Kluyveromyces lactis: one gene and its partners. The protein of the gene in region 5 binds, or shares a complex with, the protein of the main gene of each other region. Links are inferred from orthologs where the notes say so. Each region holds a gene or a part of one and is shown on either strand. Other genes may lie near its edges. The genes, in order: QCR8, BCS1, CYTB, QCR9 and RIP1.

Region 1 (3,752 bases), on a different chromosome or scaffold from region 5:
TAGAACGTATTCAAAAACCATGGGAAAAGCATTCATTCCAAGAACATCAATCCGTCACCTCTCAACTCAACACCGACGAAAAGATCAAGGACATCTACGATGACACTGAAAGAGAATTAGCATTTTACAAACAGTCTTTGGATGCTGTCACCATCGCCCGTGAAAAGCTAAAGAAATTGAAGGTCCCATTCAAGAGACCTTTAGATTATTTCGCCGAAATGGTTAAGAGTGATGAACATATGGACAGACTAAAGGGTAAATTGATAAAGGAGGCAAGTGAAAAGAAGGCCCGTCAAGAAGCTAGAAGACAAAGAGACTTAAAGAAATTCGGTAAACAAGTGCAAGTGGCTACTCTACAACAACGTCAAAAGGATAAGAGAGAAACACTCGATAAGATTAAGGACTTGAAGAAGAAGAGAAAGCACAACGAAATCGGCGGTGACGATTTCGATATCGGTGTCGAAGACGCCGCCCAATCGGAAAAGAAGCATAAACCAAATTTCAAGAGAGAAGCTAAGAATTCCAAATACGGTTCAGGTGGTTTGAAACGTTACAAGAGAAAGAACGATGCCCAATCCTCCGCTGAAATGCCAGAATTCTCCCAAAGAAAGATGAAGGGTAAGGCACCACGTCCAGGCAAGTCCAAGCGTTCAAGAAGACACTGAGAGTAACTAATAGAGGAGCAAGAACGTACATGTACAATAGCATTACCACCACGAGATACTTCTTCCTCCATAATGTATGTAAATTCATGTATACTGCAAGTATATGTATTACGTTAAAGAAATTTTTACCCGGACATGAATAATACAAACGTGATTTGACTATCTCGTTTAAAGCCGTTTCGAAATCACGAACTTTGGAACATTCCACCATACTGATTGCGTTGAAGTATATTAACAGGTTATGTACCATTCAGCTGAGTTCAGCAGGCAATTCAATTGAGGAACGTTCTACCATTGGTACCTGAAACGAATAGACAACGAACCTGATAGATAGAATGAGTGATAACAGAGCCCAGTTTTTGGAAGTGTTCCCATCATTAGTACAAGAGCTTAGAGACATCTTGGCCGGGTACGGTATGCCCGAAGAAGCCATCGAATGGTACGAAAAATCATTGAACTACAACACCCCAGGTGGTAAGTTGAACCGTGGTCTTTCTGTCGTTGACACATACGCGCTTTTGAAAGGTTACAAGTCAGTGAGCGAACTATCTGCAGAAGAGTACAAGAAGGTTGCCATCCTTGGTTGGTGTATTGAACTGTTGCAAGCGTACTTCTTGGTTGCTGATGACATGATGGACCAATCGATCACAAGAAGAGGACAACCATGTTGGTACAAAGTGGAAAACGTCGGCGACATTGCGATCAACGATGCATTCATGTTGGAAGGTGCCATCTACTGTCTGTTGAAGAAACACTTCAGAACAGAGCCATACTACGTCGATCTATTGGAATTGTTCCATGACGTTACTTTTCAAACCGAATTGGGTCAGTTGTTGGATTTGATCACTGCACCAGAGGACAAAGTCGACTTATCCAAGTTCTCTTTGGAAAAGCATTCCTTCATCGTTATCTTCAAGACTGCATACTACTCTTTCTACTTAGCAGTGGCACTGGCCATGTTTGCTGCCGGTATTACCGACTCAAAGGACTTGAAACAGGCCAGCGACGTATTGATCCCATTGGGAGAATATTTCCAAATCCAAGACGATTTCTTGGATTGTTTCGGTAAACCAGAAGATATCGGTAAGATTGGTACCGATATCCAAGACAACAAATGTTCTTGGGTCATCAACGTTGCATTGAAGAATGCTACAAAAGAACAAAGAGATATCTTGGACGAAAACTACGGTAGAAAGGATTCTGAAAAGGAACAAAAATGTAGAGCTGTATTCAACGAATTGAACATCCAAGACATCTACCACAAGTACGAAGAAGAAACCGCTTCCAACTTAAGAGAGAAAATCGCTAACATCGACGAATCCCGTGGGTTCAAGGCCGAAGTTCTAACCTTGTTCTTGAACAAAATATACCACAGAAAGAAGTAGGTAAAGCATATATTATCTAACCATTTTAGATCACGTGCAACTAAATAAATAAAAGTAAGTTTCACTACCAGTATCACTGTATACGAACCAATAATACTACGTTTCGGCCTTTTCGCTTCTAAAAGACGAAGTCTTGAAAATCTTCCAGCGAGGGAAAAAGCTTTATATATAAGAAATAAGCTTTAAACCTCTACTTATTCAGATATTCAAATGATGCAAAGATGGAAAACTATTATACATAGTTTAGTCTCTGACTCAGTATCCGCAAGACCAAGAATTAAAATATTAAGACGAAATGGGTGGTCCACATGCTAAGGCTTACATGGGCTGGTGGGGTAGTATAGGTTCCCCAGCCCAAAAGGGTATTACTACATACACTGTTTCTCCATATGCTCAAAAGCCATTGAACAACATCTTCCACAACGCTGTTTTTAACACATTTAGAAGAGTTAAGAGCCAAATTTTGTACATGGCTCTTCCAGCTGCTTTGTACTGGGCTTGGTGGGTCAACTGCAGAGACTACAACGCTTACTTGTACACTAAGGCCGGTAGAGAAGAATTAGAAAGAGTTAACGTTTAAACAATGTTATTACAACACTAGACTAGTTCCTTTCTTTCTTCTGTCCAGGTTTAAAAGCTTACATGGAAAAAGAGGTGCGGCAGCACCCTTTTGACACTTTTATCAACATTCAAGATATATTTCTCACGTCACAAGAACATTTTTTATCATGTCAGGCCATCGAAAAGAGTTTCAGTATTATTAGATACTATTGAAAAGGAGAGAGCGAGTGGAAGTTCACATCCTCGGTTTTTAATTCTCTCTTTTCGGGTTTGGCTCAGTACCGTATTTATTGGAGGTTTTCATCAAGTGGTTACTCCCCTCAAATATATCTTCTATACTTCACTGTTTATACGAATTTGAAAAACTACTTTATTATGAATACTTACATCTGCGTGTCAAGGGCGTGATCGTCGTGCTCATATGTCGACGATCGGTGTGCTTGCCTGTTTTACATGTATATATATATATAGATGGATAAGTTTCTCCACTAATGAAAGTCACGTGACGTTATTACTTTCCCCCCGTAAAGGGTATTTAATCCAATAAAACGGATTTTAACGAGTTTCCAATATCAAAACATTAGTCGATTCTCACTGTTTAAAGGGTAAACAGGAAACATCGCTATCGACTGGTACTCAACGATTTTATTGTTACGAGACAAGCGAGATATTGAAGATAAGAAACTTATCGTCTTCTTTTCTTTCTATTCTTTTTTTCCTGGTTCTTCAAGGAAAGAATCGATACTCTAGTGTGACTCGATCCACACTCGCACTCATTTTGTTTTCACCAGGAGATGTCTTCGAGCTATAATGTTGGCTCAGGAATGAAACGGTCTAATACCCCAACGTTGTATGAACGAGATTTCCCTAGTGAGGTGGTTTCGGTTGGATCATTACAGTCTTTGACTCAAAGAGAGGATAATGAAAGAGACTCTTTCAAACTACGACATAAGAATGACTCTTATAATCATGCGGTAAATTTTAACATCGGCTCTTCTAGAACTAGTGAATCTTATCAAGAATCCAGTGATTATGAAGAGCAGCTTTCCTTTAAGCCAAGAAGGATGCGTAAAGGTGATACGAATTCTACGCTAACCAATACAAATCTCAGTAACAACGACAACGATAACAGTACTAATAA
Region 2 (4,867 bases), about 1.8 Mb from region 5:
CGATTTAGTATATGAGTTGTGGAAAATAGCAACAATTTCGTGTCCAATATTGAACGGAACAATTTCTGTATCACGTCCATGGCCCAATGATTTCTGTTCACCATCAGTTTCCCAAACCAAATGATTGAATCTACGCACTTTCACATCGTTCACATACCACCATTTTATCTGGAATAAATGTGGGAAAGTGTACGAATCAGTATGTGTTTCCCAAATATTGGCGCGAGGATCATTTTCTATGAGATCCGAGCACATCTCTGCAATGCCACAGAATTTACCAGATTTGTTAACAGAAAATAATAAGAAAAGTTTAGCACCTGGTGCAAGACTATGGTATTCTCTCTCAAGTCTTCTGTTCCCTTTGCGTGTCGAAGACCATACACTATTTTGTAGTGCAAGTTTAACGTTTCTTTCGTTGAAAGACTTGATAACAAAAAATTTAGAACCATGTGGGATCCCATACACCGACTCACGGTTCTCTATTTTCGAATAATCAGTAGTGTACTCTTTCAGCGGCGATAAAGACTCCATTATGGTAGAAGCTGTGGAGAAAAAACCATCCATGTTTGACATTAGACTTTCTATGAAACTAGATCCGCCGCTTGTATCAAAGGATTCTTCATCATTGAAACCTTTAGGAACTATCTTTTCCTGAGTATCAGAACGGTCTTTATACCAAGCATTACCGTTACTGGCATTATTTTTATCATCAAAATCAAACTTCGATGAGGCATTCAGCAGGAACAATTCCGTCCATAGATCCATTTGAATATTACACATTTTTCACACTGAACCTAAAAAGTTAATATATTCTTCTCAACTTAATATTGCCCAACACAACCTTCAGAATTCTTACTTATGGCAACTCAATTCAAAAATTACATTAATCTCACTTGATGTTTACTTGCGCGTCTCCTCGTTTTATAAGAGTTTATGTCAGTTTCGAAACTTAACCAAAAAAATCTAAACTGTCATATCTGAGACCAGTCCTTATCATTTTTCCGCTGATTACATTAAAGTTTCGAAGAAAAAAACACAGGAGACATCAGAAAACGCTATAGCAGCAGATTTGCCTACATAGAAAGATAATGATAGTTTAATAGATATGGATATAGATAAGTGATAGTAGGAGAGAGATGTTTACTTTTATTAGAGTTCAATTGTACCTAGGAGACGAATAGTTTTAGGTTACACAGGGAAGTGTTGTTCTTGACAGTTTTATGTGCAATTTTCTGCATGAGCGAGCATCTTCGAAGGATTGTAGTTGACGGGCTACTGGGCCGAATTAGAGACAACACATTAGGAACCTTAGATGAGCCAAGTGAGGCTGAGGAGACCTTAATTGGATGTCTGTTTGCTGATCTTATTCGGAAGCTAATGGATGAAGCGAAGCTACAGGCAGAAAAGGATGGCACAAGAACGATATCCGTTGGCCATTTACGTGATGCAAAAGATTTGATACTCGAGTCGTCACCTGATAACAATGAGGATTGAAAGAGATTAAGATGGATTTCTCTTTCATCTCTATCAGTTCCTTTTCAAGCCTATATATATCGTGTTGGGTGCTTGTATAGAAGTGTGTATGTACATATATATTTGAAGGTTACGGATTATTTACAGTCAAAAGACATGGTTTGGATAGCGTAAGGATTCTACCATCAGTACTGCATTCTTTGGGTTTTGTTTGTTGAAGACAAACAAACCTTGTAGTTGTGCCGTAGAGATTGGTGTGTCCAGTTCAACAGCTTTTTGAACAAACTGCTCGCATAGTTCTTTCTCTTCTGGATAAAATCTTAAGAACATTTGTTTGATTTGGTATTCGGTAGCATTTCCAACGTATGTTTTATAATCGATTCTACCTGGTCTCATCACGGCAGGATCTAGTTTTTCAGGGTGGTTGGTCGTCATGAATGTAATTATCTCTTCACTGGATGCGACACCGTCTAATGCGTTCAGAAGGCCGCTAAAAGTGACTCCGTTAACGAAACCTTCATCGTTCTTGCTTCTTTTAACAAATGCTGCGTCGATATCTTCTAACAACATTAAACTTCTTTCTGGAAGGTTGTTCATAAGATAGTTTAATCTATCATCAGTAAGATTGGGGTCCGCAAGGTTCATAATGCAGATATTGTAGTCCAACTCACCAGCCAATGCTTGAATGAATGATGTCTTACCACTTCCCGGTGGGCCGTATAAAAGATATCCTCTTCTATACGGGATACCACGATCGTAGTACCATTTACCATTTTGTAAGAAATCATTTACATCATTTAAGATGCTCTCCTTCAATCCGTTATCCAAGATAACACTCTTTAAGTTTCTTTTAGCCTTTGGTTGACCAAACGGTCTCCATTCGTTAGCCCAAGAGGTGTAGATCACTGTTTTACCTGTTTGAGCTTTCACCGCCAAGTCTTTAGCCTCCATCAACAATTCTTGGAACAAATGTCTATCACGATATAATGTGGTTAGCTTTACAGTTTCAAATGGTGTACCATTTGTAATGTTTGCTATTTGCCCCGATCTTTCTCGTTTAATCAGCATGAATGCGCCTTTATATCTTATCAAGTGATTTCCGACACCTGGAACAAAATTCACTTCGGTACTCACAGAACCGTTATTATGCTGTAAATAATTGGTCTCCACTGACAAGTGTCTTGATGACCTATGGGGATATCTTGACATCCATTGCAAGAACCATAAGTACGATTTATCTTTACTTGGAATTTCAAGGTCCACGATCAATTGATGATAAGCCAATCTGCTTGTTGATATCACTCCCCTTCTCAGTAATGCAAGAGATGTACCTAAAACCATTAGTCCACCACCAGCGGCAAAGTATGGGTTTCCTTCAATAAACTGGTTAAATAAACCCTTAGCCATTCCAGTGACAGATCCGTCAGAATCATTTCTCACCTTTTCAAAATCTATAGGAGGAAGTCCACCCGTACCGTTACTCGCCATCTTGCAGTTCTCTAAATTATCTTTGGACAGTGTTTAACTTTCCTAGAATGTACTGGATCAAACTTCTACTTATGTTGCAAGTTTTCATATACTTCAAATTTGTCTGGTTGATAGCTCATCTCTTGATATTCATTGTGGACACTTTTTTTTTCAATTGTAATAAGGTTCAAGAAAGATTTACTTTGTGCAAAGAGGAAATCGAGGCCTCGGATTTCTATGATCTATCAGTCAATACACTAAACTTACTTAGTTTTCTTATTTAGTTAGATTAATGCATCTAAAGTAGACCCATTCGATTCAACGAGTCTCCAATTTGGCAATTTATACTCGACATTTTCGGGTGAGTATTCAGGATAGCGTTTGTTAACGGCTTTCAGCACTTCATTGAACATCACCTCGTAACCTTTGCCGGTGAAATGCAACCCATCACATAAAAGCTCTGGCCATGTATCGCCCTGGTCTTTGAACGCTTCGTACAGGTTCACGAATGCAACATCTTCTTCACGAGCAGCTTCTTCCGCAGCATCGCTATATTGTTTATACAATTCATTTGAACGAACGTAACCCTTATCAACCTCTGGCTTCTTCAACGAGTACCAGTGGTCTTGGTCGTGCAGAGCAGGGCCTACCACAACAACTTTAATTCCTTTATTTTTCATCATCTGAATCAGCTTGATGGTGTTTTCTTTGAATTCAGGTAGTGGCACGTTTTGTTGCTCATGTTGACAGGAATCGTTCGAACCGAAGAACAACGTACTGATAGCCACATCTTGTTCTTGCTCCAAAATTTTTGGCAGGAGTTTCAGTGCCCACCGAGAATTGTATCCGCTAAAACCTCTTTGAACAATATCGAGCTTTCTGGTGTATGCATTGACCAATGCCGCTCCAAGTGAGAATTGATCAGTCTGGTCCCCATTCATTCTTGTATTGAATGAGAACTCGGTGATGGAATCTCCAAATAATAAGAACTTTTGATATGTTAGAGCCATTATTTCCTCTGTATATGTGCGTCTTTCTGCTTAACCTTGTTTACTGCTTTTTCAATGCTCGGTGTTGTGAAGATGGAGTGATTCTCTATTAAACTCCATCTCTCTTTCCCTTTCTATATATATATATATCTGTGGTGGGTTGCATCGAGAGACAAGAATACGTAATTGGTGTTACTCGAAGTTACCCTGGAAAGCGACGGTTTAACGATCAACGTAGTTCACTGATACCGTTGGACAAGGTCGGCTAATATATTCCGATCAGAACCATGACGGCAGTCGGTCCTACAAGACAAATTATAGTAGGCAACAGGAATGCTGCAACAGTCTTTTCCTTACATTTCTCTGTCTTATTTTACGTTAGCTTCTTTTAGTCATTTCTGGTGTGTATGTCTTGTCAGACAATTAATAAGTTTGACCGAGGTTACAGTACATGTATAGATCAAGAAAACGGCAAACCTCTACGTACCTGGCTGAAACTGCATTCAATTGGAGTAGCACTATCATAATAAAAGGATCATGGTTCGAAAATACGTATCCATCATCGGGTCAGGTCCGTCGGGGTTTTACACCGCTCATCATCTGCTACAAAATGTTAAGGTACCTTTAGAAGTGACTATATGGGAAAGGCTACCAGTGCCATTCGGACTTTCTAGGTATGGTGTTGCGCCTGATCATCCTAACGTTAAGAACTGTGAGGACACGTTTACTGATACTGTCAAAGATGTGATGGGGAAGGATTCAATACATAAGTTCAATTTTATCGGAAATTGTGAAGTCGGAAAAGATATAGAACTTTCGAAGCTGCTAAGCAAGCAGGATGCTGTCGTGTTAAGCTATGGATGTGCCACTGATAGGAAATTAGGTATTCCTGGGGAAAATGACACTACTGGTGTATTTACTAGTAGACAATTTGTGAA
Region 3 (4,790 bases), on a different chromosome or scaffold from region 5:
CCCGCGGATCATTATGATCCGCGAGAAAACGTGATTTTCTAATTATACTGATAATATTAATATATAAAATTATATATTATAATTATATAATATATTATATATGTTTTAGTAACCCCGCGGCTCCTCCCCTTTAAAGGGATTACTAGGAGACCGCGGGGAAAATATTAAATAATATTATTTAATATTATTTAATTAATAATAATTTATTTTAAAGTTACATACCCCGCGGCTCGTTTCCGGGATATCCCGGAAACGAGACCGCGGGGAATTATAAAATAATATAAACCCCGGGAAAAATATATATAATAATGTTTTTTCATATATTCTACCTTCTATATATTAATATTACTCCTTTGGGACTATTATTATAATAATATTCACCCTGATAAAAATCAGGGTTCGCGGAATTAAAAACATTGGAATATTTTTAATATAATAAAAATATAATTAATTATTATTATATACCATAGGAATAAAATTATATATTATATGTAATATGTAATCCCGCGGTATACTTTATATGTATACCGCGGGGGGGGGAGAGATATAATTTATAAATTTTATTTAATATAATATATATATTAAATAAAAAAAAGAATATTGAAATAATTTTATTATTAATTACTATTTAACATTTTTAAAATTAAAATATTTTCCCCGCGGACTCGTCCCCGGGATACCCCGGGGACGAGCCGCGGGGTTTATATTATTTTCATAATTAAATAATACTTTTTTTAATTTTAAACTATTACTCTTCCCCACGCGGCTCATCCAACCCTTTATGAGGGTTGGATGATGCCGCATTTGCGGGGCTTCTAAATCTAAATATTCAAATAATAAATCCCCCGCGGTCTCATCCTCTGGGATTACCAGAGGATGAGCCGCGGGGTTAATTATGTTTTGATTTTACTTCATTATAACATTTATAATATTCTTCCCCACGCGGTACACCCAACCCTTTATAAGGGTTGGGTGATGCCGCATTTGTGGGGCTTATTTTGATTTAAATTTAATCATTATTAATATTTTGAGAATAATATCTTTTTTGATTATTATTAAAAATAGATAAAAAAGAATATTGATTAGTTAAATTATTACCTTTAATAATTACTTTGCATTTTTTCTACCTACATAGAATAATACATTTTCAATTGTTGATACAACTGGTACAATAACTAAGAAGTATGCAAAATAAATTACAGTAGCAATTTGTCCCATTACAACAAAAGGAGGCTCTACATGACATTCTCCTAAGTGGCCTAATAATACAAAGTTAGCAATAAATAAGAAGAAGAAGAATTTAGAGAATACTTTAAATGCGTTACCTCTAATAACACTTCTATCTGTAATAGGTAATACTAATAAAATTAAAATAGCACCAAACATAGCTAATACTCCTAATAATTTATCAGGTACTGATCTTAAAATTGCATAGAATGGTAATAAATATCATTCTGGTACAATAGATGCAGGTGTAACTAATGGATTACCAGGAATATAGTTATCTGGATGTCCCATTGTATTAGGTGAGAAGAATACAAATAATGAGAAGAAGAATAAGAATACAAATACAGTAATTAAATCTTTAAAAATAAAGTAACCATGCATTGGTAATCTATCTAAATTACCTGTAACACCTAAAGGATTTGATGAACCATGTGTATGTAATGCCATAAAATGCATAATTACAAATGCAGCAATAATAAATGGTACTAAATAATGGAAAGCGAAGAATCTTTGAATAGTAGGATTAGAAACTGAGAATCCACCTCATAATCATGATACAATATCATTACCAATAAATGGAATAGCTGAGAATAAATTAGTAATAACTGTAGCACCTCAATGACTCATTTGTCCATATACACAACAGTATCCTAAGAAAGCAGCAGCCATTGTTAATACAAAAATAATAACACCAACATTTCATACTAATGTTCTAGGAGCTCTATATGAACCATAATATAAACCTTTACCAATATGAATATACATACAAATAAAGAAGAATGATGCACCATTAGCATGAGCATATCTAATAAATCATCCTCCTTGAACATCTCTCATAATATGTTCAACAGCTGAGAATGCTAATTCAATATTAGATGAATAATGCATAGCTAAAAAAATACCTGTACAAATTTGAATTACTAAACATAATCCTAATAATGATCCTAAATTTCATCAATAATTAATTGATGAAGGTTGTGGTGAATCAATCATATAACTATTTAATAAATTTAAATAAATATTAGATTTTCTAAATGACATATTTTATTTGAATTATTATATTTTTAAATATATATATAAATATAATATATATTAAATATATAATATAAATATTATATATTCCCCACGACGAACGTCGTGGAGGAGCCGCGGGGCCCTTATATAAATATGACCCCCGCGGATCACCCGACCCTTTATGAGGGTCGGGTGATGCCACGGGAGAAAGGGATAAATATATAATTATAATAATATAATTATGTATAATTTATATATATTATTTATATGAATATCCCCGCGAAATTATTTATAATTTCGCGGGAGATAAATAAATATTTTATAAATATAATATTATTGTATTATATATATAATAATATATATATAATAATTATTATAATAATATAATAAATATATTATTATCAAGTAATTTGATACATATATAATATATATGTATATTGATTATTATTTTATAATTATATATTACTTCTAATATATCCCACGGATATACTTGGTAATATATCCAGCCCCCGCGACATGACCCTTTATGAGGGTCATGTCGCGGGGGAGAAGGGATTATAAAATATATAACCTTAATCGGAATTGAACCGATATTTTCAACATGAAGAGATGATGTCGTAACCATTAGACGATAAGGTCTGTTATATTAGAGATTCGAACTCCAAACCTTTCGATTACAAAACGAACGCTCTACCAATTGAGCTAATATAACTACTATTAACTTATATATAGATTCCCCCCGCGGCCTCACCCAACCGTAGGGTTGGGTGTGCCGCGGGGGGTAAGTTAATTAAAACTATCTCGCTAAATTATCCCTATTTAAGGGAACTAATTTATTATTTTATATATATAGAATATATAAAAATATATATATATATATTATGAAAATATATGCCTAAAAGGCGAATTGTAATTTCTTCCCCGGGGCTCACAACCTAGGTTGTGAGCCGCGGGGTAATCATTATTTATTAATTTTATTATATAATATATTAATATATAATATACAAAAATATATATATATATATAATCCTCGTATTTCAACCCATAAGGAATTGGGAGATTATATAATATGTAATAAAAGGGTATATATAATAATAGAATACCCCGCCATATTGCCAATATTGGCAATATGGCGGGATTATGTAAATATATAAACTCCCGCCATTAGTCGTATGACTAATGGCGAAATACTAATTTATTATTATTTTTATATAAATAATATTATTATATAAAAATTTATATCAAAGCCCTATACGAGGTATTTGGTTACTATTAATATAGATATAATATCTATAAACCCCCCCCTTAAAAGGGGGGTAAGATATTCCCGCCATAATATATCCCTTAGGGATATATTATGGCGGAGTATAAATAATAATATCAATATTTATTATTAAAAAAATTATTATATATATTTATATATATTTTAATAATTAATATTATTAAGAATATATATATAATTCTTTATTTAATTTTAGCCCCCCCCGCGGTCTCTCACCCAACGAATGTAGGGTGATGAACCGCGGGGAATAATAATATTTATATATATTTATATATATTTTATACATATAAAATAATAATCTTATCCCCGCCATATATACCTATTAGGTATATATGGCGGGAATGGATATAATGATATATAATATTATATATATATTTTTATAATTATTTCGTAGAAATAATATTATGAATATAAGGCTATACCCGCCATTATTACCAATATTGGTAATAATGGCGGGGTATATATTTATTTATAGATCTTTATATATTAAATATATAATATATATGAGAAGTATAATTCCCGCCATTATCTATTAGATAATGGCGGGGATATTAATCCCGCCATATATTTATTATAATAAATATATGGCGGAATACTAATAAATTAATAAATATATAATAATAATTATAATATTTATTTAAATATATAAATATTTATATATTAAATTCCTATGAATGATATTGCATTTGCAGAGTTGAATATAATTAAATATAAAATTCCCGCCATTAGTCTTAAGACTAATGGCGGGATATATATATATATATATATATCTTTTATATATATTATATATTTATTTTTTATAATATATATAATATATAATTATATAATTATATAATTGTATACCGCCCCGATATTTATTATAAATATCGGGGGCGATTATTGTCATATTATATCATATCCTATATTATATATAATTATTATATATATCTATTAATAATAATACATATTATTCCCCGCGGCTCATCACCCATACATTCGTTGGGTGAGAGACCGCGGGGGGATAAATAATTAGGGAAATTATATAATACAATATATTATATACAATATTTATACTATATTAATATATATAATATATATTATAATATATTAATAATAATAATAATTATATTATTAATATCTAGAATATATATATAAATTACTATATAATATATATAATAGTTATATAATTAAGTATTCCCATAACATGGGAATCGGGGGATTATATAATATAATATAATAATGTCGTCTTTCTTATTACGTATTAGATTGTATATAATTATATTATAAA
Region 4 (4,337 bases), on a different chromosome or scaffold from region 5:
CAGTAACGTAATGATAATCATGCGACTACATATATGCTCCGTGTGACAAGTACTTGGACAGTGGTTCATATTAGTAAGTAAATCACTCTGGGGAACTTCCAAACATATCTTCCAATAACGCGGTAAATCGCAGGAAAGGAGAGGTTGTGAAACGGGCTGAAACAATAGTTATCTATCCCTTCCATTGCTGCTCGATGTGAAGGAATGTTTCTTCCTCATATTGAAAAAAAAAACTAATGATTTGAAGCTTTAGCATAAACTGAAATATCCATTGGCAATCTACAATTAACAGCTATAATCTATCATCCAGGCCCCTCTGAACATTGCATCGGATCAATAATCTATCATAGAACACATTAAGATATGGCTTTAACTTCGATCTTTGGTGGTAGCTCTTCATCATCTGGTACCCCAGCCACATCCAGTCCTAGCGATGTCAAGACCCAACTTAAATCTCAAATCTCTCAAGAATTAGCCATCGCCAATGCTACCGAGTTAGTTAACAAAGTCACTGAGAACTGTTTTGAGAAATGTCTGAATGCTCCATATGCTGCTTCTCAAGATAACTGCGTCGACCAATGTTTGGCTAAATATATGAGAAGTTGGAATGCCATTTCAAAGGCTTACATTAACAGAATTCAGCAAGCTTCGGTTAACGGTGAAATCTAAGGGGCGCAACTTTTGAGATAAAAGAAGTTATTTAATGCTCTGATTCATTACAAGCTACATGTATATAGATTTGTATAATGTTATATTCGCGTCTTACGTATAATCATACATTATGAATGCTATTTCATACCCGTCGAATAAATTCAGGTATATATATATAAACAAAAGTACGGTATTGGTACACAAATAATGGGTAATTCTTTTTTATTATCGTATAGACATGATTAATACACAGAAACAGCACAAACAATACATTGTATTTAAATACAATTGAGCCGCATATGTGATTGATTGATGAGATTTCAAATAAGTGAGTTGAAAATAAATAGGAGTAGAGGGAAAAACAGCTAACAACAAATAAGATGAACATCAATGCGCAGATATTCACGCTTTATGGTCATATATGTTTTACCCTTTTTATCTCTTGAATCGAGTGAGATTCCGATAGCGAAAAGGATGAATGTTATGAAAATCTGAGAACATCATTCCAAAGTTGATGTCCTAGGCCTGGTAGACGTATGGAGTGCCGGATAGATAAATGTTTCCCGACAGTAGCGTATCCACATTTTTAAAATATGTTTTGAAGTGACGGTATATTCTAAGAAGTAAAATAATTGAACAAAAGCATCAATGAAAAGACACTTAAAAGTATAATGATGAGAAATGATATAATTCAAATGTCAAAAGAAACTTATTCATCGTCTTCTTCATCTTCTTCACCACCGTTCATGATACCACCCTTGATATCTTTCCATAACTTACCTTTGTTGTGGTTTTCGTACCAAGAGGTCACACCAGTATCGAAGGCAGCTTGGAAAACGAAGGCAGAGGCGAACACGGTACCAACGAAAACAGAGTTTCTCTTAAAGACAGTTTTGTACAGAGTAGAGGCGAAAGACTGTGATAATTAAGTTGTTCAGAAAAATAATTGTTAGTAATATGATCTAATATTTCATGTAGTCAATCCGCAATGATCTGGGAAAACAGCCGCTGGATTTTGCCCAGAAGGTGTCCATTCTTCACTTGTTTGATGTAACTGATATACATGCGATAAGCCATGGTCGTACTTCGAAGATAAATGTAGTATTGAGACTGCCTTTCTATTATATGGAGATATCGGTCATACCTCCAGGGAACCTTAACAGGCATCGGAAACACCACGGGATATGCAGACATTCAGCTTTGGAAGTATATTTCACTAATAATAGTATAATTGTACATTAGCATCTGCTCAATGTAATTTGCATCGTGTTTACAAACAGTTTTTTCAGTTCCCAGTTTTCGGTTTCTCAATTCCAGAAGTCAAATAAGACATCTACGCCAAAATCAATGTTTTCAGATCCAGAAAAGACGCATATCATATGTATTATCCATGACTAATCAAATCATTAACATACCATTTCTAAAACGGGAGTTCTGGTTTCTGTTGAGCTGAACTTTTTCTTATTAAACCTTGTCTTTGGCATCAGTCGAAGTTAGCTTTCCGTTTTATACATTTATCCAGTTTTTCAAAAATTTGAAGAAAAGTTCCGTACTCGGATATAATTGGGTCGTATGGTATGATATCCAGAAGTAATCACGTGCAAAAGTCTAGTACTGGGAGTACTTTCAACATGAATTATCAAAGGGTGGGACAGAGTCAGGCTACAATAAAAGATTCTGTAAGATATTGGACGGCATAGTATCCTGTGGTCAGTCCACTCCACATATTGCAGATTTATGCAAAACTAGTAAAAATATCTTATATCGATGTGTGCATAAACGAAATAACGTGCTATTCTATATATATTTGGTACATTGAAGTTGTGAATGGTGCCATAAGGTTAAGGCAATTTTGAGGTGTGACGAGCAAAAAGTTATTCATTCTACGTTATTTAACTCGTTGAAATCAAAACCTTCTTCTGCAGAACTGTATTCCGTGTCTTGATCTTCCGAAGCGTTGTTTTCGTGCTCTTCGTCCTCACCATCTTCATTGCCGTCACTTTGATCATTCAGTTCAAAGTGCTCTCTATTTCTATCTGCACGGCCGAAGAATCCATTCATTGCATTTCCTTGCAGTTGTTCAATGATATCTTCTGTAGTCGGAATGTCTGCGCCATCACCTTGCATACCCCCTCTCATGTTTTGAACAAACTCGAAAAAATCATGTATGTCACCTCTTTCGGTTGGTAATCTTATAGGGATATCTCCACCGAATGGTCCACCATTGATGCGTAATTCAACATCAGGCTGTCTAAACCTTAGATCTGGACGATCATCATTCCCAAACTCATCATCGTTCATAAGGTCCTCGTCACTGCTCTCCCCACCAGCGTTGAAAGCAGCACCAGGTCTCCAAAACATGTTCCTCGTAAATGTTCGGTTATTTGCCATCGCAACCCTGAATTCGTCCCCCATTACTCGGCTGATATAACCGGGGATACCATTTGAAATCCAAAGACGAGTTAAATGTTCATATCTAGCATGATTTAATACTGTTAGATCACCTCGTTCGATAGCGTTTCTTCCTGATTCACCGTGTGAGTTCAAATAAGGGGCCGAAATGTTGACGGTACAGTCCGGTCTACTTAAATAGAGGCACACTTGACTGATATTAGGAATTAAAAACAACCCACTGGAACCATGGGAACACCTTTCCATGTGCTTTTGCATTTCAAGGCCATCTGTACGTGCGTGAATCTTGACACCACATATCAAACAAATTTTATAATCAAGTCTGTTGACAGTATTTCTAATTTTTTGATCATTCTCTTCACGCAAAGTAATGTTTTTATTATTAGTCACATAAGTATTCAAATGAGTTGCTAAATCGGTTAATTTGATGATACTGCAGTACTCATGTGGAGCATTAACCAAGGAGCTTTCAGGGGAGAGAGGAGAATGCGAATTCATCAACAAGTCATAAAAATCAGTCTGGAGCAAAAATCTTATCAAAAGATGGAAATGTTTTTCTTTGCTTTCGGAAGTAAGGCTACCACTCAGCACATCTTTTTCATTAAAATCTAAATCATCCCCCCCTGTCATAAATTGCTTTAAGGCCTTCAGCAAGATAATTGATCTCCTTAGCGTAGGTAGCAATTCAGAAATTAAGAAGGTATAGAACAAATCCAAGGTGTGCTTTTCAACTTGATCACCAAATCCAGCTCCTAATATCGTTGTTTTCAATACAATTGAAAATTCAGAGGAGTCAAGGCAAGTCTGGGCTCGAAGCTCGGATTCATATTTCCTATAGAAAGACCCAAAGTCTTTTGTCAGACCCTTCAAACGCTCCACGAGTACTTCCTGTAAACAATCCTTAAAGGAAAGTCTAGACCTTAATACCGTTTCAACAACTCGGAAAAACGGATAACTTGGTAAATTGCTGCTACGAATATCTTCATAGAATTTGAGTACATTCTCTTCAGTATGCTTAGTTAATCGTGTGTAGACAGCCAAGGACTTGAGAATGTTCTGCAGTGTCTTAAATTTCTGTTCTTCACCTGATAAGAGTGTTCCAAAAGGATCTTTATTAAGCCTGGACAACATCTCTAGCATACAGATGTTGTTAGAAAACTGAAGAGAGAGAGTTAAAAACCTATCCTGGATCCAAGTAGGATCATTGCGATTTAACCGTAGACCATTGTTAGAATCTTTGAGAGATAGTATTATTTTTCCAACTTCGTCGTTAC
Region 5 (4,025 bases):
TTAGAGAGCAGGTTCAGAATTGAAAAATACGGACTTGACTGGCATATTCGCACGGTGTGTCAGCTAATGAACATATACTTTCAAGCTCATTGTGAACAGCCAAAATGTGACATCTCGGTTTTTTACAATATGATAATTGATTTCATTGATTACAAACGTGATTTTATGATGTGGCATAAGATGAATAGAGAGCAATGGAGGACCCTTGACGATTTATCCATGACACAGTTACATGAAACGCACTATACTGCCTTATGCCAGTACCCTTTTTTGATGTCCTTAGGCGTTAAGATAGCCATAATGGAGTTCGAAACTGGGAAAATGATGGAACATAACGCTGAGCAAGCGTTCTTAAAGGCGTTGGACTCTCGTAAACTTTACGATGTACATTTCCGAATAAAGGTAAGACGAAGCCATGTGACACAGGATTCGCTAACGTCCATTCAACGACATCCACATGATTTGAAAAAATCCCTAAGAGTGGAGTTCTCGAATGAGCCTGGAATCGATGCTGGCGGTTTAAAGAAAGAATGGTTCCTTTTATTGACTAGGGAATTGTTTCATCCAAACCATGGACTATTTCAATACGTGGAAGAAAGCCGATTATCTTGGTTTGCATATGGGAACACCGGTCTTAAGCTTCATGGAGAGAACAACAATGAACTATACTATTTGTTTGGAGTAGTGTTAGGTCTTGCAATATATAACAGTACTATATTGGACTTACATTTTGCGAGGGCCATGTACAAGAAACTATGCAATGAGCGGATCACTTTTGAAGATTATGAGGAGTTGTACCCTGAGACAGCAAGAAATTTAAAGAAAATGTTGAGTTATTCGGAACTAGATTTTAGTGATATATTTGGATTGTCGTTTGAGACCACGTATTACGATGTAGCCAGTGGTATCAACGTCACGAAACCGTTATGTGACGGAGGAGAATCAATCCCAGTAACCTCGGAGAATAAGACAGAGTTTGTTGAAAGGTGGGTAAATTTTTATATGAATGAGGGGGTCTCATCGAGTTTTAGTGCATTCCAATCCGGGTTTACAAGAGTCATCGGGGATGGTTTGGCTTTCCCGATGTTCAAAAGTTGTGAAGTAGAAAGGCTCATCTGTGGCAGCATAGAACAAGACATGGATTTCGAACAACTTCGCGCTGTGACGAAATACCAAGGCGGATTCCATAACCAAACCCCGGTAGTGGAATGGCTATGGGAAATACTACCACAATTATCCCATGAACAGCAACGTCAATTTCTCCATTTCGTGACTGGGAGTGACAGAGTTCCAGTGACGGGACTTGCGACGCTTCCGTTCAAGGTAACCCGCACAACGTCCGGATCACATGATCAGTTGCCCACTGCCCATACCTGTTTCAACGAACTCTGCTTGTACGAATATGAGTCACGTGATACTCTTCTTCTGCGATTGGTGACTGCCCTCGAAATGTATGAGGGTTATGGGTTTAAATAATGTCAGCAACAAACATACATTAATATAATCACTACAAACGAACCAATCATATCGTGAACCAGGCTTTACAGAAAAACCTGCTTCCCTTGAATAACCAGAAAACACAAGGAAATGGACACTTACAGCTACTATGTGAAAGCCGTTAAATGCGAAGCGTTTTACTGACACTAGGCCCAAAGGCCCTAGTGTCAGTTATCATTTCCACCAAGAAAATCTTCCTATACTTGACCATTTACGCAAATAAAATTGTATACTTGTAAATTGGAAAATAATAACCACACCAGGAAGTTCTGCCTCGTCCCAGCTCATTTACACTGTCCATTCCTGTCTGGTCGAATTATATCTTGTTTAATCCTTTAGCGCTTCTTACTATTGGCTTTTTTCCCAATCTGAAATTTTTCTTTGTTTTTTTTTTTTTTGCTTCCTTCCGCACTTATTAAGCTGCAATGGCTTCTGTTTAATATGGATAGAGATAATTTGATAATTTCTCTGAATAAAATAAAATAGAAAAAGATTTAGTACAATCATTTTATTATTACTTTCAGTTCCAACAACATTTTTGCATTGATATATATATTTTATAATCTGGCTTGGTGATTCATATCTGTGTATATATTTATTGATACTCCGAGAGTGCTTTGCTGTTGTGATTAAAGTCGATATCATAGAAACGATTTCTCCGAAATAAGAACGGGAAATTAGTACGAATAATACACTCTAGCGATATATCCATAACTAACTAATATCAAAAATGTTGGGTTTAAGAAACGGTTTGAAGACTGGTTTGAAGTCTGTTGCTCCAGCCAGATTAATTTCTACTTCTGCAGTTGCTGCCAAGTCTACTTACAGAACTCCAGATTTCGGAGACTATATCAAGGAGAATAACGATGCTGACAAAGGTCGTTCTTATGCTTACTTTATGGTTGGTTCTTTAGGTTTGTTGTCCTCTGCCGGTGCCAAATCCACCGTTGAAACTTTCATCGCTTCTATGTCTGCATCTGCAGATGTTTTGGCTATGGCTAAGGTCGAAGTCAACTTGGCTGCTATTCCAGAAGGTAAAAATGTCGTTGTGAAATGGCAAGGTAAGCCAGTTTTCATCAGACACAGAACCGACCATGAGATTCAAGAAGCTAACAGTGTTGATATGTCAGCTTTGAAGGATCCTCAAACTGATTCTGACAGAGTTCAAAAGCCAGAATGGTTAGTCATGTTGGGTATCTGTACTCATTTGGGTTGTGTTCCTATCGGTGAATCTGGTGATTTCGGTGGTTGGTTCTGTCCATGTCACGGTTCCCATTACGATATCTCCGGTAGAATCAGAAAGGGTCCAGCTCCATTGAACTTGGAAATCCCTCAATATGAATTCGATGGTGAAAACTTGATTGTCGGTTAAGCGCAGAAGGAAAGCTAAAAAAAGATTATATTATGTTGATAAATTGTTGAAATAGGCTACCTTTTTTTGCTATTTCTCAAATTTAACTCTCTTCCTTTTTCTCTTTCTCTTTGTCCTTCTCACTCCAGCTTTCACTAATAAAATTCTTTATTCCCATGTTGATGTCTCCTACTCCCCCCATGTATTTTCCAAGTAGGATTCACAACCAAGGTCAATATCTTTTATGCTAAAGTTTGTCATATTGGAATCGTGTAAGCTCGTTTTTTCACGTTCCATCATCACTACCCGATTTATTATTATTTATTCATACAAACATTTTTGAAACCACAACTACCCGTGCCCCCATAGCTCAAGCAAACTAAAAGGATAGCAAGCATGAAATGCTTTTGAAGCATTGTTCAATTGTATGTCATCACTTTTCCTTTTAACTGCACTGAGAAACAATCGCATTAATACCTGAATGACCACATCAGGCTACTACCGTGATTGAAACCCTTTTATTATATTCCAAAATCTTTGAAATAGTCCTGCTCTACCCGATGCATGGTTATACCTACAATCTGAATCGCTTAATGTTGTATCGCCTTCTTTTCCATAAAAGGTCAGACACGTATTTAAAGAAAAGCGGGAGTATTGGATTAATCTGTCAATAGTAACTTTAACCTTTGATTTCCCTTTTTCAACGAGATTTAGGCCTAGGAACAATGCATTGGTATTGCAATGGGATGTCATTATTTCGCTTTTAATTTGCCTATTTTCCCGCTAATCACGAGAAAAATAAATTCAATTAATCAATCCTATACTCTTAAGATGTCTCAAAAACTGTTAACCCAAACCATAAAAACCTAAAAAAATCTCTTCCAACCAAAATATTTTACCATAAGAATAGAGAAATTGACGAACAATTAATTTAAATTGAGATTACCTTTCTCTCTAGGGATTCAAATTTTTTATCATATTAAGGTTTGTTTCCTGTTATTTATATACTCTGTTAACGATGCCAAGATTATATATTATATGTATATGTATATTCCCCACATACTCTTTTAAAAGAAATGAACAAATTTAATCCATTTGAACGCCGAAAATTGGGAACCCTTGAAAAATCCAGTGCTGTTTGTAGACTAAAGTTCTGGGTTAGCTTCTAACAAGCTTT

Evidence for each region.
Region 1: the proteins of RIP1 (region 5) and QCR8 are in contact, whole or in part, in a cryo-EM structure (PDB 8ABI), measured with the Yarrowia lipolytica proteins. The link is inferred for Kluyveromyces lactis from reciprocal best matches to the Saccharomyces cerevisiae genes RIP1 and QCR8. Residues at the interface, in XP_499709.1 of Yarrowia lipolytica: Thr42, Ile45, Pro46, Phe48, Thr49, Pro50, Tyr51, Leu52, Lys53, Arg56, Asn61, Arg62, Ser65, Tyr66; in XP_504875.1 of Yarrowia lipolytica: Ala23, Tyr25, Thr26, Ile27, Phe30, Ala31, Ala32, Arg33, Ala36.
Region 2: the proteins of RIP1 (region 5) and BCS1 are in contact, whole or in part, in a cryo-EM structure (PDB 9GS2), measured with the Saccharomyces cerevisiae proteins. The link is inferred for Kluyveromyces lactis from reciprocal best matches to the Saccharomyces cerevisiae genes RIP1 and BCS1. Residues at the interface, in NP_010890.3 of Saccharomyces cerevisiae: Asp133, Met134, Ser135, Asp139, Pro140, Gln141, Thr142, Ala144, Asp145, Arg146, Val147, Lys148, Tyr205; in NP_010663.1 of Saccharomyces cerevisiae: Phe209, Gly210, Arg214, Asn297, Thr299, Arg302, His337.
Region 3: the proteins of RIP1 (region 5) and CYTB are in contact, whole or in part, in a cryo-EM structure (PDB 8EC0), measured with the Saccharomyces cerevisiae proteins. The link is inferred for Kluyveromyces lactis from reciprocal best matches to the Saccharomyces cerevisiae genes RIP1 and COB. Residues at the interface, in NP_010890.3 of Saccharomyces cerevisiae: Ile79, Met82, Thr83, Ala84, Thr85, Val88, Val108, Val109, Lys110, Gln112, Gly113, Lys114, Pro115, Ile158, Thr160, His161, Leu162, Gly163, Cys164, Val165, Ile167, Phe177, Pro179, Cys180, His181, Gly182, Ser183, His184, Gly194, Pro195; in NP_009315.1 of Saccharomyces cerevisiae: Trp142, Thr145, Val146, Asn149, Leu150, Trp164, Trp166, Gly167, Gly168, Phe169, Ser170, Val171, Ser172, Pro174, Arg178, Pro262, Leu263, Thr265, Pro266, Ala267, Ile269, Tyr279, Leu282, Arg283, Ile285, Pro286, Asp287, Lys288, Cys342, His343.
Region 4: the proteins of RIP1 (region 5) and QCR9 are in contact, whole or in part, in a crystal structure (PDB 4PD4), measured with the Saccharomyces cerevisiae proteins. The link is inferred for Kluyveromyces lactis from reciprocal best matches to the Saccharomyces cerevisiae genes RIP1 and QCR9. Residues at the interface, in NP_010890.3 of Saccharomyces cerevisiae: Asp48, Asp50, Lys51, Arg53, Ser54, Tyr55, Tyr57, Phe58, Gly61, Gly64, Leu65, Leu66, Ser68, Ala69, Lys72, Ser73, Glu76; in NP_011699.1 of Saccharomyces cerevisiae: Ser2, Phe3, Ser4, Tyr7, Lys8, Arg13, Asn14, Ala15, Val16, Ile21, Phe22, Gly24, Ala25, Phe26, Phe28, Gln29.

The regions. Positions count from the first base shown.
Region 1 is NC_006037.1:608,710-612,461, forward strand, and holds QCR8 (ubiquinol--cytochrome-c reductase subunit 8), read left to right. Parts: upstream 1-2,345; coding exon 2,346-2,630; downstream 2,631-3,752. Other genes in the region: EBP2 (Ebp2p), read left to right, coding at 1-665; ERG20 (bifunctional (2E,6E)-farnesyl diphosphate synthase/dimethylallyltranstransferase), read left to right, coding at 1,001-2,050; protein kinase NNK1, read left to right, coding at 3,406-3,752. UniProt on the Saccharomyces cerevisiae protein: Component of the ubiquinol-cytochrome c oxidoreductase, a multisubunit transmembrane complex that is part of the mitochondrial electron transport chain which drives oxidative phosphorylation.
Region 2 is NC_006041.1:225,428-230,294, forward strand, and holds BCS1 (bifunctional AAA family ATPase chaperone/translocase BCS1), read right to left. Parts: upstream 2,962-4,867; coding exon 1,621-2,961; downstream 1-1,620. Other genes in the region: PHO92 (mRNA-binding phosphate metabolism regulator), read right to left, coding at 1-780; KLLA0_E02465g (uncharacterized protein), read left to right, coding at 1,237-1,494; IAH1 (isoamyl acetate-hydrolyzing esterase), read right to left, coding at 3,225-3,950; ARH1 (NADPH-adrenodoxin reductase), read left to right, coding at 4,467-4,867.
Region 3 is NC_006077.1:19,560-24,349, forward strand, and holds CYTB (apocytochrome b), read right to left. Parts: upstream 2,269-4,790; coding exon 1,108-2,268; downstream 1-1,107. UniProt on the Saccharomyces cerevisiae protein: Component of the ubiquinol-cytochrome c oxidoreductase, a multisubunit transmembrane complex that is part of the mitochondrial electron transport chain which drives oxidative phosphorylation.
Region 4 is NC_006042.1:1,407,927-1,412,263, forward strand, and holds QCR9 (ubiquinol--cytochrome-c reductase subunit 9), read right to left. Parts: upstream 2,136-4,337; coding exon 2,067-2,135; intron 1,568-2,066; coding exon 1,361-1,567; downstream 1-1,360. Other genes in the region: protein translocase subunit TIM13, read left to right, coding at 364-669; E3 ubiquitin-protein ligase UBR1, read right to left, coding at 2,530-4,337. UniProt on the Saccharomyces cerevisiae protein: Component of the ubiquinol-cytochrome c oxidoreductase, a multisubunit transmembrane complex that is part of the mitochondrial electron transport chain which drives oxidative phosphorylation.
Region 5 is NC_006041.1:2,011,945-2,015,969, forward strand, and holds RIP1 (ubiquinol--cytochrome-c reductase catalytic subunit RIP1), read left to right. Parts: upstream 1-2,227; coding exon 2,228-2,869; downstream 2,870-4,025. Other genes in the region: putative E3 ubiquitin-protein ligase HUL4, read left to right, coding at 1-1,476; KLLA0_E22595g (uncharacterized protein), read right to left, coding at 3,994-4,025. UniProt on the Saccharomyces cerevisiae protein: Component of the ubiquinol-cytochrome c oxidoreductase, a multisubunit transmembrane complex that is part of the mitochondrial electron transport chain which drives oxidative phosphorylation.